Diceros bicornis minor: one gene and its partner. The protein of the gene in region 1 interacts with the protein of each later gene in a pairwise test. Links are inferred from orthologs where the notes say so. Each region holds a gene or a part of one and is shown in the gene's direction. Other genes may lie near its edges.

What was found. The genes of interacting proteins can lie anywhere in the genome.
Region 2: the proteins of RGS20 (region 1) and FASLG interact in binary tests that used the Homo sapiens proteins (3 or more experiments, as listed by UniProt). The two-hybrid records come from large-scale screens. The link is inferred for Diceros bicornis minor from reciprocal best matches to the Homo sapiens genes RGS20 and FASLG.

Annotation. Positions count from the first base shown.
Region 1 is NC_080772.1:7,745,071-7,753,072, forward strand, and holds the start of RGS20 (regulator of G-protein signaling 20), read left to right. Parts: upstream 1-5,001; coding exon 5,002-5,160; coding exon of another isoform or gene 5,161-5,166; intron 5,167-8,002. UniProt on the Homo sapiens protein: Inhibits signal transduction by increasing the GTPase activity of G protein alpha subunits thereby driving them into their inactive GDP-bound form.
Region 2 is NC_080743.1:93,508,426-93,515,622, reverse strand, and holds the start of FASLG (tumor necrosis factor ligand superfamily member 6), read left to right. Parts: upstream 1-4,130; 5' UTR 4,131-4,181; intron 4,182-4,580; 5' UTR 4,581-4,666; coding exon 4,667-5,014; intron 5,015-5,610; coding exon 5,611-5,656; intron 5,657-7,197. UniProt on the Homo sapiens protein: Cytokine that binds to TNFRSF6/FAS, a receptor that transduces the apoptotic signal into cells. Involved in cytotoxic T-cell-mediated apoptosis, natural killer cell-mediated apoptosis and in T-cell development.

The DNA of each region.
Region 1 (8,002 bases):
CTTAATTTATTCCAACTGCCAGAAACACAACTCAGATCCAACTGTTCTTTTATAAACTAATGAGTTTTGTATTATCATATCTGTCTCACGGCTAAAATTTTAAAAGTGTCTGTCTGTATGCTTATATATGTTTATATATGAATGTTATAGATGTGTGATTTTTCTACCTCCAGATGGTATTGACAAAATTAATTTGTAAAAGAGCTCTATTTAACTGGCTTAAAGAAAACTAAGCACTTATATAAATTAAATATTCTCTCATGAATATAGAAATTAACCCAAATGTTCTTCAAGTTTGTGTGATCTGGGATAATCTTTGCTGAATAAAAGCTAGTCTAAGTTTGTTGGTTTAATTAAAACAGGCATGTCTTCAGAGTTATCAACATTAAATTTAATGCAGACCTATAACTTTAATTCTACCCAGGTTTACTAGTCATATAATCTCATGTTATGGCTATTACACAGCATTTCAGGAAGAAAAATAATTTGAAATGATGGTTAGCTCTTTAATGTCTTGTGAAATTTTCATAAATAATCTAAACATAATTTTTAAGAACAAGTGAATTGAATAGATATAAGTAAAAGTTTATAAATGAACTTTTCAACAATAATTATGTTTTATGTATCTCTACTTAAAAATTGTGTCAAGAGTCTTAAATGTGTGTTCATAGCCATCAGATGGTCTCACTGAGCTCAGAGAAACAGAACAAGGTGAACAACGAGATGAACAGAAGAAACCTTCCACAAACCTGACATCATGACCTGTGAGTTTCACAGTGAGACAAGAACAACGTAACCCTGATGGTGACTGAGAGTGGCACTAGTGCCAAATTTTTGGTCAATCGCTCATGTGTGAGAGGATGGCCAAATGGGGAAATTGTTAAAGTCATTAAGGAGGCCATTAAACTGAGATGGCTCTAATGCCTTGGTCGCCTATGTAACCCAGGGTCAATTCCTGAAATGCACTTATATCCTAGAAAATGAAACTAAAACAATCACAAACAGCCAACTAACCTTTCCCAAATTAGGTAACTGCTTAAGCTATAGCCAATCAAATAATTTCCTTGCTTTGCTTCCACATCAGCTCTATAAAAGCTTTTTCCTGAGCTCCTGTTAATGGAGCACTTTCAGTTTGGTGCTGTCCAATTCAAATTGATGTTTGCTCAAATAAACTCTTGAAATTTTTAATGTGCCTCAGTTTATCTTTTAACACTATGATCTGAATGTTTGTGTTGCTCTCAAAATACATGTATTGAAGCCCTAAACCCAAGTGTGATGGTAGTTGGAAATTGGGCCTTTAGAAGGTAATTAGGGTTAGATGAGGTCATGAGGGTGGGCCCTCAGGATTAGTGCCCTTGTAAGAAGAGACACCAGAGAGGGAGCCCTCTCTCTCAACATGCACAAGCACTGAGGAAAAGCCATGCAAGAATACAGCAAGAAGGTGGCTGTCTGCAAGCCGGGAAGAGAGCTCTCACCAGAACCTGACCATGCTGGCACCCCGTCCTCAGACTGTTAGCCTCCAGGACTGTGAGAAAATAAATTTCTGTTGGTTAACCCACACAGTCTATGGTATTTTGTTACGGCAGCCCGAGCAGACTATTACACAATATAAATGAAGCCACTTAATCACACCACCAGAACAAAGTATGAATAAACATCATTGACAACAGAGAGAGACTAAAACTCCTGTGAACAGGTACAAAATGCGAGAGCAAGCATACTTAATCCCTCTCTTTCTCATTCAGTTGGAGACACATTTATTGAGTATCCGAAGTTTGACAGTCTCTCCAATTTTCTTTGAGGTTTCTTTGGAGTTGTTCAGAGTCAAGTTGAGGAGCACAGATATAGTCAGATAATTTCAGCAAGCGCAGTAGCAGGGATGCATCTAGAACTACTCTGTGCACCTGGAAGAGGAAGCTGATACTGCTGCTCACTGAGAGAAGGGGGAGGTCAGGGGGCTCCATTTAAGGACTGACACTTGCACTAGTCCTAAGCAAGGCAGGCACATTAGGAAACAGGCAAAGGGCATTCCAGGCAAAAGGGAGAAAGATTGATTCTTAGATTCTGAATGAGTCCCTTTCCTTCTTTCTACTCTTAACCCACTTGAAAATGTTGTCATTTTTAACATGAAATAGTTTACTTCATGAGAAGTAAAATGCAGAGCATGTTTCTCTGCATAACCAAGCAAAGCTGGTGATCAGGTCTGCTCTGCACATCATCTTGCCTGTACCTCCCCAGCCGCAGACCTGTCATTATGCGGCAGGTCTCATCAGGTTCCAGAAAGAACTCCTCTTTTCAGAGGGGTGTGGAACAAAATCAGGAACAAGGCAGTGAGCAGAACGGGCTGCTACACCGGTCAGCTGGGATGGCTTTCTTCAAGCATCATGGTGTTACCAGATATCTATCTGGAACTAGGGAGAAGAGAAGAGGCAGGTGGTCCCTGCTGCTGTTTCCCTTACCTGATCTCTTCAACACGTCTATCGGTGACCTCAGCTGGCATAATTACATGTTATAGCATATGCAAGGTATCCTCTGAGCTGTTTCGTAATTTCTTCATAATTGAGCTCCAGATTTACTACTTACAAATGACATAAGGGAAATAAGATAAAACTGTATTGACAGGAGAAAAATAATAGTAATAATTAATGTATTCATCAAATTAAGTCAATAGCCCATATCTTTAACAATTTTTTCACTAGAATAGGGTCATATTATATGTTTGGAGAAAATATACCACCTAGAAGTGATCAGAGGTGGAAAAATTATGAAATTTCAAAGGAATTTCTTAAGTTTGAAATATATGAAATGTTACAAACATCATCATTTCCAATATTTTCTTCCCAACTGTGAATTGAACTTACATTTGCCCATAGAAATAGAGGAGTTCTAGTCAAAGGAAATCCTATTCTAAAAAGATGATTTATCATGAAAAACATACTGCCTCCTAGTGAAGATTATGCTACCAGCCTACCTTCAGTTGTACAAGGACTTTAAGAAGCTTTTGCAGCTCATTGAATAAATTATTAGTTTAATGAAAGAACAGTTTTTCCATTCTCTTTCATACAATAGGCTTTTGCAAGAAACTGACCTACTTTGGCCTAACAGTAACTCTAAGTATTGACACCATGATGCTTTTACAAAGTACTCTAACCAACTATCCTAACAGCTTCTGACTGCACTGGTATTGCCAAAGCAGGTCTAACAGCAATCACACAAGATTTCACTCACGCACTGTACCAGTGCCCTAAGTTCTTATGGCAACCAAGCTTCAGGATTTTCCAGGTAAGTTCATTGTATTACACTGCACCATTGGTGCCATAAGGACAATCTCCCACAATCTGAAAATTTAAAAATATGGCCACTGTAGTAGACAGCTTCTAAAATGGCTCTTAATGATCCCCACCTGCCAATAATTCATGCCCTTACCAAATCCTCTCTCCTTGAATGTGGGCTAGACCTACTGACTTTCTTCTAAGGAACAGAATACGGCAAAAGGGATGTCACTTCCGAGATCAGGTTACAAAAGACTGTGACTTCTGTCTTGCTTGCATTCTCTCAGGTTCTCTCACTTGTTCACTGTGATGAAGCAGGCTGCCAAGTTGTGAGCTGCTCCAAGGAGAGGCCAACATGGCAGGAGCTGAGGGCTGCCTCCAGTCAACAACCAGCAAGGAATTGACATCCTTAGTCCAATAGCTTTTCAATCCTGGCAACAACTATGTAAGTGAGCCTTGAGTGAGTTCGACTTTTGTCGACTCAAGTGTCAACTTTTGTGGACTTTTGTGCCTGGCTTCTCTCACTTAGCATAGAGTTTTCAAGGTTCATCCATGTGGTAGCATATGTCAGAATTTCATTCCATTTTATTGCTGAATAGTATTCCATTGGATGGACATACCTCCCTTTGTCTATCTATTCACCGTTTGATGGGAATGTGGGTTTTTTCCAATTATTGGACATTTGTGTGCAAGTCTTTTTGTGCTCACGTGTTTCACTTCTCTTGCTTTGGTAGATATCTAAGAGGGAATTGCTGGATCATGTGGTAACTCTATGTTAAACATTCTAAGGAACTGCCAAACTGTTTTCCAAACTGGTTGCCACATTTTACATTCCCACCAGCTTTGTATGAGAGTCCCAATTTCTCCACATACTCACTAACACATGTTATTGACTGTCTTTTTGAGTAAAGCCAACCTACCAGGTGTGAAGTGGTATCCCATTGTGATTTTGACTTGCCTTTCCCTAATGGCTAACAATGTTGAGCATCTTTCCAGGGGTTTATTGGCCATTTGTATATCTCCTTTGGAGAAATACCTATTTAGACACCTCACTCATTTTTAGTTGGGTTTTTTTCATTTTCAGTTGTAAGAGCTCTTCATATATTCCGGGTACAAGTCATTTATTACGTGCATAAGATTTGTAATATTTTCTCATAAGAAAATCACTTTAATTCACTCTACGTGGCATAAATAGAAAGTGTAATAATTCTTGGGCTTAAGTTTGGGTACGAGTTTAGCATACGTTTATAGCTATGAAGCTGACTGTTATTAAAGTGACCTCTTAAGAAACCTAGACAGATTAGGGGGACCATCTGCCTCTTGATTGCATAGCCCAAGATTGTCAAGCACTATTCCCTATCACACAACTAGTAATACAGAATTTTGCAGAACAATCTATTTCCTTTATCATTATAGACTAGACAATACATCATTTCTTTCAGTTTTGATTTAGGATTAGAATTAGGAATACATTTCTACCTGTAGAGGGCAGTCATAATACACCCAGACAATCAGAATAGGAGGCTCTACCTGGAATAGAACACTAAGGATCTGCGGATAAGCTGCTGATCCAGAAAATAGATAATTCTTTTGCTTCCATTGGTGTAACTTTCCAGGGAGGCCCTCAGCAGACTGAGAGATGGCCCAGCATCAGCCAAAAGAAGAGAAATAGAGTGGACCCGGAGCCAGTGTTAAAATCAGGCCACAGGACTTATTCGGAGCCCTTATTATGCCCCAGCTTTCCCAAGAGAACCAAGAGTGCCTCCAGAAACATTTCTCCAGGCCATCTATGTGGAAGCAATTTCTGCCCCTGCCTCAGGCTGAGGGATATAATGCAAACATTCAGCAAGCCATGGAAAATGAAGGTGGGACCAAGGCTGGGCATGATGTCCAGGTAAGACAATCTCCACAATCCATGATCCTTTCTTGACAAGGAAAGGGCTTATGCAGAACGAATATAAACCATAAGCAAGCTTTAGTGCCATTGCTCACTTTATCTCAGTGACGATATCTCAAAAATGTTTTCAAACCAACGCCAAGAGAAAAACTAGAACCTTGATGATAATTACCTGATCTGTCTAGCTTTCTCCAACCTATAAAGCTTCTCTTTACCAATACAAATGACTATTGAATTATTTTTGTTTGTTTCAGGGGGTAGTGTTTTAAAAAGCAGACGACCTAGACATAGATTTTTGTGGCAATTGCTAGTAACCGTTGAATGTTTTTCTCTGATATAAAGATTATATCCCATATAATAATGAAAGAAAAATTATAGACTGCTTTTTATAAAAATTGGTAGAGAAAAAAATTGATAAATGAATACAGAAACATAAGAACATTGAGCTCAAGGGGTGTTTTTCCTAAATTCATGGTTTCCTAAGGTAGATTTCCTAAGCATGAATTTCCACCGCTAGATAATATTATTTTCCCAAAGAGTGACAATTTTCCTGCTCAGTGTTGTGTGTATCTTTGCAGAAAGTACAGTTTAAGTCTGTAAATCCTCTTAACTATTAATAGAACCATCTCTTAAAGGTTATTTGGTGTGGAGGGGGACAGGCATGTGTTAATGTCTAACAAATAATGAGCAGAGCTTAGAATTAAATGCTGCAAAATCATACTACAGCAAACCCATCCAACTGCTGAAACACTAGAAAATTCATCTGTCCCTGTGCCACAGCTCATATCCTGATAATAATCATCATTTATTTGGAGACTTTCTATTTAATTCTCTGGATCTGCCCCTTTCCTGATGTTATTTTAATCAATTGGCATAGGAGAAAAAAAGTTTTAAAAAAAGTCATTAGGAAGCTTTTTCTGTAGAAATGTATTCACCTTTGTTTCTAAGCTTTCAGAGATCTGTGAACAAATAATACATGAATTTCCACACTCCCTATTATCACCTAAGCACTAGGTCTTTAGGAAACTAGAATGAAATGGGATATCGTGGCCAGAAGTCCTTAATTAATGGGAATCTAAATCTAGGCGACACGTGCAAAAGAGATTTCTAGAAGGTAGAGTTTGGAGGCTCCTCTGAGGAAACAGACAGCAACAACAATATACATATGTTGTGTGTGTGTGTAAATATGTATAATATATGGACACACACGTATAATTTCAAAGTCAAACTGTCTTGAGGGTATGCTTTAAGCAGAACCATAGGCAAATGAATTGGAAAGGTATTTAAGAATCAGCAGTACCTTTCCATAGCGTCCTGGAATCAACTGCACTGCGGGCGCCAGGCGATCCAAGCTGCCATCCTGACCTCATTAACCCAAGTACACCAGCTCCAGCCTGTGCAGCAGCGGGCGTGGGCAGTCAGGAGAGATCCAGCTGGGATGCTACTGGCCTCTCCACTCAGTTTTGCCTTTTTAAAAAATCTTCCTATATTGCATCTGAATATAGATGCACATGTCCCTCTTATAGCAAGTATATGAATGGCAGAACTCAGTTCATTTTAATTCTACAAATGTCCTTGAGTCCTTGCTATCCCCAAAGCCTTGAGCTAGATTTTGAGAAAGAGAAAGATATGCTCCTCTCTCTCTACAGACTCACGATATATTGGGAAAGACAAACATATCAACATATTATCATCATATCATATTATCATATTATTGGCATGACTCATGTCAATGTAATTCAATCAGTAAGGCAGTAAGAAACTAGGGATGGAATATAATCAATATGAAGTAAAACAACTGAAAAAGGCCTAATGAAAATGTGAAAGAGGTGAAATTTAAGGTAGACATGAAATAGGAATGGAGGAATGTAGAGAAGTAGACAGGGAGAACATGGGCTAAAATGTGTCTAGACATCCAAGGCCCGTGTTACAACCCTCCAAGATCCTCACAACCTAAGCCTAACACCACATAAAATATTAAACCAAAATGGATCATGGCCTTAAATGTACAACAATATGTAGAACTATAAAACTGCTAGAAAAAAATGATAGAAAATCTTTGCGACGTAAGTCAAGGCAGAGTTCTCAAACATCAAAAGCATAATCCCTAAAGGAAAAATTGATAAATTGGGCCTCATCAAAAATAAAAACTTTTGCTCTGCCAAAGACCCTATTTAAGAGGATAAAAAGACAAGATACAGACTTTGAAAAAACACTTGCAAACCCCATATCTGACAAAGGCTTTGTATCTAGAATATATAAAGAACTCTCAAAAGTCAAGAGTAAAAAGCCAAACAATCCAAATAAAAATATGGGCAAAAGACATGAACAGACATTTCATCACAGAGCACATACAGCTGGCAAACAAACACATGAAAAGATAGTCAACATCGTTAGCCATTAGGGAAATGCAAATTAAAACCACGATGAAATATCACTACACACCTATCAGAATGGCTAAAGTGAAAAACAGTGACAAAACAAAATGGTGACAAGGATGTAGAGAAACTAGATCACTCATACATTGCTGGTAGGAATGCAAAATGGTACAGCCAGTCTGGAAACAATTTGGCAGTTTCTTATAAAACTAAACATGCAACTATCATATGGCCCAGCAATTTCACTATTGGGCATTTATCCCAGAGAAATGAAAACCTATGTTCACGCACACTGCATATGGTAATGTTCATAGCAGCTTTATTCATAACAGCCAAAAACTAGAACCAACCCAGGGCCGGCCCCGTGGCTTAGCGGTTAAGTGCGTGCGCTCCGATGCAGGCTGCCCGGGTTCGGATCCCGGGCGCGCACAGACGCACTGCTTCTCCGGCCATCC
Region 2 (7,197 bases), on another chromosome or scaffold:
TATTAGAAGATGGGGCCTTTGGGAAGAAATTAGGATTAGATGCAGTCATAAAGGTGGAGCCCTTATGAATGGGATTAGTGCTCTTATGAGAGTCATGAGAGAGCTTGCTTCCTCTCTCTGGTTCCATCATATGAGGATACAATGAGAAGTGCTATCTGCAATATGCAAACCACAGTCTTTTTATAAGTTAGTCTTAGAAGCACTATCTCATCACTTCTGCTATATTCTATTCGTTAGAAGTGAGTCAATAAGTCTAGCCCACACTCAAGAGAAGGCCATTATAAAGGGCATGAATACCAGGAGATAGGGGATCATTAGGTCATCTTATAGACTACTCATCTAAAAATACCACAGAAAATAAGGCACTACTTATAAGCATAACAAAATTACAAAGTATCAAGCAATTTATCTAAGAAAGAATATGTAAACTTGATATATGATAAATATACTGCTGTAATTCAGTGGGGGAAAAGATGGCTCGTGTTGGGAAAACTGGTTCATATGTGGAGAAAAACAAAGATGGACTTATTTCACATCACACACAAACGCGAACTCCAGACAGATTAAAGCCTAAATATGAAATTTGTGGTGGTGTGGGAGAATTTACTTGCAATGTCTAAAAGCAACAATGGATTAATATCTAGGATATAAGGTACGAGGAAACCCTGGGAATCAGCCCAAGAGAAATAAGAAACCCAGTTAAAAGATGGACATGGTGTATGAACAGGAAATATACACAAAAGGGAAAATGTGAAGGTCTAACAAGTATATGACGAGATATTCAACCTCAAAAGAAATCAGAAAAAGGAAAACTAATAGACGAGATACAACTTTATAACCCTAATGCTTGGTAAAAATTAGAAAGATGAATAATACCAAGTAGAGATGAAGACATGGGATAAGATAGTCATGTTGGTGTTGGTGTCAATAGATTCAGCCACTGTGACGAGCAGCCTGGAGGTACTTAGTGACATTAAATGTGTAGGGTACATGTTTGTGAACAGACTCCAGTTAAGAGTGCACTGGGGCCTTTGCTCACCTCTGGGGATGATCAGCTGCTATTTTCATCATGCACCATTCTACGCTCCTGCCCAGTCACGGCTAGAGCTCTGGGCTCCGGCCCACTGAGTTAACTTCCCTGCTAAGACACTGGATGGGTGGGAAGAAATAGGTGGCCCTTTTCCTTACCACTCTGTCCTTTTAAATTCCACAAGACTAACACACTAAACTGGGGAAGCACACTTGAATCCTTTTACTAAAGGGTCAGGACAATTTCTGAAGGGAATTACAATGCTAGAGGGACCATAATTAAAGACAATTTAAAATTTCATCTAATGAAATAGATGAAAGATACTTTAAAAATTCTAACAACTTGCACAAGGAAGTTTCTCTGATTTGGTCCTGCACTTAAATGTGCTCCCAAGTCTCACCCATTATCTTTAAATCTCTGTGACTGGCAATCCTATCCCTCCTCCTGAAAGAAATCGCCAGCTCTGACTCTCTCTCTGCTGTCCATCCTCAAGGAACCTGGTTGCAGAACCAGAGATGCAGGCTCAAGTAAGGGGGATACGGTGAAGATGACCGAAGCTCTTCAACTTGGGTTTTCCATGTGTGGAAGCTGCCAGCCCGCTGGCTCTTTAGTTTATCTGTTCAGTGCATCTCTCGAAGGCGAATATATATATTTTTTTCTTCAGCAATCACAGAGCTTCTAAGAGACACTTTGAAAAGATTATTTCTGCTAATTAACAAGGTGCTGGTAGTACCCCAAATTGTGATAGGTCCCTGTTATTGTCTGCAGTGGTGGTTATTTTTCCATGATCTTGCCAACTTGTGATGTTTGGTGGCATCATCACAGAGCGATTCCAGTGTTTAAAGGTGGCTCTCTTTGTCTCTATTCCAGTTCAGACTCTCCCTGTGATTGGAGGGTCCTGGGTGGGCTGGGGGCAGGTATTAAGATTCTGATTCCTCCTATCACAGAATGAATCAAGAGAAGAAGCAGGGCAGAGAGAGAGACGTGAAAATACAGAATAATTCTTATTAAAAAATGCTGAAAGATTCTGTGGCAGTTTGAGACAGAAAAGCAGGGAGGTCTTAGCCTGAAACAGAGGGCCCTTCAGTCCATCAGTTCACTGCTAGAATCTCTGAGGATGCTGGGTGTCAGGCATCAATTTTGTACTTTCCCCAGAAACCTCTCTCCCGCTCTCCACCTTGTTGTAGCCTTAATGGAAGAAGGTCAATTACATTTGGTCTAGAGATGAATTATATGTGGGAAGATTCACTACATTTACGACAACAACAATAAAGTTTGTTGAGTGCTTGCTTTGATGCTAGAGTCTATTTTAAGCGTATCAAATGCTTTGAGTCATTTAATCCTCACAGGGCTGTCTGAAATAGATACTATTATGATCATGCCCATTTTTATAGAGGAGAAAACTGTGGCACAGAGGAGAGAAAGTGGCCTGTCCAGGTCACAGAGCTAACAAGTGGAAGAACTGGGACTTGACCGCAGGCAGTTTAACTCCAGAACCATCTAATACCCCTAACCATCGCTCAACACTTTCCATCCTCCCCATCCAGGATGTGGGGTATTTTTCCACTTATTTGAATCTTTGCTATTTTCAGTAAAATTTTTATAATTTTAAAAATATGATTCTATATAATTTTTGTTAGAGTATTTTCAGGATATTTTAAGGGTTTTTCTTCTCTTTTCTTTCTTTTTTTGAGAAAGATTGGCCCTGAGCTAACATCTGTTGCCAATCTTCCTCTTTTTATTTTTTTCCTTCCCAAAGCCCCAGTACATAGTTGTATATCCTAGTTGTAGGTTGTTCTAGTTCTTCTATGTGGGATGCCACCTCAGCATGGCTTGATGAGCAGAGAGCAGGTCTGCGCTCAGGATCCGAACCTGTGAACCCCAGGCTGCCAGAAGCGGAGCGTCCCAACTTAACCATTATACCGCTGGGCCGGCCTCCAACTTATGAACTTTAAACTTACCATTTTTCATAACTATGAATAAAACCGTACATGAGTTCAAAAGCACATTAAACCTGCCCACCTCTAAAAGACAGTAAGAACCTTGTGCAGTCATTCTGGTCTCATCTGTCACACTGTCTCGTGAATGGAGAGGGGGATGTGGGCAGAAGTGCCTGGAGAGGAGACAGAGCTCGCTGTTGGGGTCTGGCTGTAAAGAGCCTGTGTGTCGTGCTAAGGTTACATTGGGAGTGGGAATGGAGTGGGGTGGGCAGATGGGTGCGGGGTGGGCAGAATGTGGCAGGAAAAGAAGTTTGATGTTTGGTCCAGTGGAGAGCCGGGATGATAGCCGCAGTAATGCCAAAGCATGGAATAGAAACTAATGGAATTCGAAAAGTAGAGTCCTCCAATAAAGCGGAAAATAGAGATTTATGGGAGGTTTATACGGTTTGTATGGGAGAATGCTTGGGACTGGAGCTGAGCTCTAGGAAGTTATTGGCATATAAATGGTATTTGAAGTCAGAGAAAAGGATGACGTCAGTCCAAGTAGAGTTGCCATCTTTAGTAAAAAGCAAACAAACAAATAGGACAAACAGTTAAATTTGAACTTCAGATAAACAACGAAGACTTTTTTGGTATATTCCATTTAATGTTTAGCGCATAGTTATCCTAAAAATTATTTAATGGTTATCTGAAATTCAAATTTAACTAGGCACCATGTATTTCATCCAACAACCGTAACAGAGGCTGCAAACAGAAATGCCCAGAGGGACCGGGAAGGCCACTTCATGTGGCCGATGGTGTGTGGACCAGTGGAGGGTGATGCAGGCTGGGCAACCTGCAGCACCTATGTCTCATCCATGGGGCAGCTGCTGCCCAGCTCCAGCTGACGGGGTTTGCAGAGATGGCCTTGAGATGTCCAACATTCTAATGTTTCAAAACAGAATAGAAGTATATATATCTTTATTTGGAATATGCCAATTTTAAAAAGGGACAACCAATGAAAAGAAAAAACATCGTGAGGCACAAACAAAGCAGGTCTGTGGGTTCCACAAGGCATACGGGCCACTGGCTTGTAACCTCTGATCTAATCTCTAGAGAGTGGGTGGGGCAGGTTTTTAACCTGTAAATTACAGTGCTGTGCAATGTCAGGGTGAAGAGCACTTCGGCGTGGGGAAGGGGTGGCAGCAGGGGATGATTCCCTCATGCAAAAGGTAAGACGTGGACGCGACTCCTCTGGCCACAACTCCATGGTCTCGCCCCTCAGTGCCTGAACACGCCCCCTCTGGTCACTGTCCCTGTGGCTGGGCAGTGGTCAAAGCCCACAGGGCTGCACCCAGTGCTACCTGCTCTCGCAGGGCCTGAGAAAGACGAGCCTACCCTACCAGCCTTTCAGGTAGCAGGGCACTTTGAAGGCTTTCATCAGAAAATTGTGGGCGGAAACTTCCCGAGGTTCACTCTGAGCTTCTTGAGGCTTCTCAGCTTCAGATGCAGAGTGAGTGGGTGTCTCTCTGAGAAGCAAAAAGAGAGAAAGAGAGAGAACGAGAGAGAGGTGTTTCCCTTGGCTATGGAAACTCTATAAAGAGAGAACCTGCTTCTCTTCTCTCCAACAGTCGGCAACTCCTAGCCACCTGGGCCTCCACAGGATTGAGAAGAAGGAAAATCCTTTGCTGGGGGCTGGCCTGAGTCACTGGCTGCCATGCAGCAGCACCTGAATTACTCGTACCCCCAAATCTACTGGGTGGACAGCAGTGCCAGCTCTCCCTGGGCCTCTCCAGGGTCAGTACTCCCCTGCCCATCCTCTGTGCCAGGAAGGCCAGGGCAAAGGAGACCACCACCACCGCCCCCAACAACACTACCACCACCGCCACCACCACGGCCACCACTGCCTCCACTACCACGGCCACCTCCGAAGAAGAGGAGGGACCACAACACGGGCCTGTGTCTCCTCGTGATGTTTTTCATGGTTCTAGTGGCCCTGGTTGGACTGGGGCTGGGGATGTTTCAGCTCTTCCACCTACAGAAGGAGCTGGCCGAACTCCGAGAGGTGAGCCAGCATGGGCGTGGGGACTGCTGTGCCCTGGAGGCACGGGCGGGAGACAGCTCTGCTGCAGGGGAGGGTGTAGGGCTACCATGGTCCACCGGGACCACGGTCTTGCTTGCAAAGTACTTTTGATCCTTTTTTCTTAGAAATGGATCATCCCAGTCATTCTATTCTATAGGCAGAGAAATGGAGGCTCAAATGAGTGAAAAGAGTATTTTCTATCTGGTAAAGAATAAGGGCCAAAATAGGACTGGCACTTACAGTTCTCCCTTTCTCACTTGGCACGTCAGCCCGCTGAGCCACTGCCTACCTCAGGCTTAGTGATTGAGGAGACAAGGAAGTTTTGAGTCTCGCTTAGAAGTGAATGTGTTCAAATGGCCAAACTAGATTTCCTTGAAAATACCTAAAAATATCAGAACTATTCCAAGTCACAAAACTGAGGCAGGGTGAGGCACAATTGCTTGGCCAAAGTCTAAGGTAGGAGAGATTCTGAGGTACTTAGATTCCCTTTCCAGGGCTTGGTTTATTTGACAATTCTGCCTTCTTTGCTTTAAGAACTTCATATTTATTATACATCTTTTCTTTTTCTCTTTTGCCAGTCTACCAGCCAAAGGCATATACCATCATCTTTGGAGAAGCAAATAGGTGAGTCTTTTTATGCATGTATATTGAGTTTCCAAAGATAGTCTTCAGAGCTGAACCATGTTGATGGAATGCCTTGAATTCGTTCTTGGGCATACGTATACTACAAGAGGTATCCTGGCTAATTCTGAATCTTTGGTCATTTTTGTTCCTTGAGCTGGCCTAAAATATGAAGTGAATTTAATTGTTCAAAATCAGTGTCGCTGAGTACTGCACGCAATTCAAAATAATTTCTGCTTGACTTTGGAAAAAGGCACACGTGTACAACTTTAGATCTTTGTCCCCTGAGCAGCTGGCTCCAGGCCTCTCCCCTTCTTCAGACCTTCTGGTTCCTGTATACAAACCAGTGGCTATAACTCCTCAGTAGAGAGGGGGAGGTCAGGGCAGAGAGATATGTTTCTGGGAAAGGTCCTCTCCTCTTTAAGCTCTCTAAGAGATTACTTAAAAGTCAAGCTTTATTCTAAAAATATTTTATAGGATATATCTAAGCTTTTAAGAAGGGGCAATCAGTCATTCACATTAGGATGGTTCTTTTGCAGTCACTGGAAAGCTTGGGGGAAGACTTTAGCCCTTATTCAAAGGGTAGTCCAGTTTCACCCACAAGGGCAATCATGAGCTACTTTTGCTAATAAAGGAAAATCCTTCCTATGAGATCCAAGACAGGAAGAAGATGAAAATGTTGAACAGTGACCTCACGAAGTTTCAGGATATAGTTTTGGAAATTGTGAACAGATAGATTTAGGATACTCCAGGTCATTAAACTAAGTTCATTGAGCTTTAGATTTGGCAAGTGTTGGAAGAGAGCTTAGAGAGCATCTGGTCCAGTAATCTCATTTTTCGGAAGAGAATCAAAATACCAGACAGATTAGGCGATATGTCCAAGATCACTGGTGTGGAACTGGGGCTAGAAGGAACACAGGCCCCTGATGCCTTGTCACCGACAAGGCTTTCTAGTATATGGACTGGTGCCTCATGAAATAGGGAAACTCTCATCTCTCTATGTTGGCCACGGAATGAGAAACAAAGATGACAAGCAAGATGCCTTTGCAAAGACAATAGGTAAATCTCGCCCTTAGAAACTGGGAAGAAAGCAGAAGGCAGCACTGGTGACCAGTGAGGGGAGCCTGTTCCAATTTCTCAAGATGTGCCTGCTGCAGGTGACTCAAGTCATACGGCCCTAGAATGCAAGCTCTTGTAGAAGCCATCCTTAGGATGCTCTGCTCCCTAGTTCTGGATCCGAGTCCCTATGTGTTAGAAATTTCAGATGTACAAAAGCAGAGTAGAAATATTTGTTAGAAAATAAAGTCCCTGGAAGATTTCTAAAATAAAATAGTCTTGAAAATCAGTGGAATGTGGCTGATGAAACAGGTACCTAATTACTCATCTTTCACCCACTCTCTGGAGTCATTTTAGTAATTAAAAGTCAAGTGAACAGATGAGTCAGGTCTACCTACCACAGTATCTTCTCTAGATCAACCCAGATCTAGGATCAAGAATTGGTGAATTATCATATGGAAATCAAATTAGCAATTTTACTGATAAGA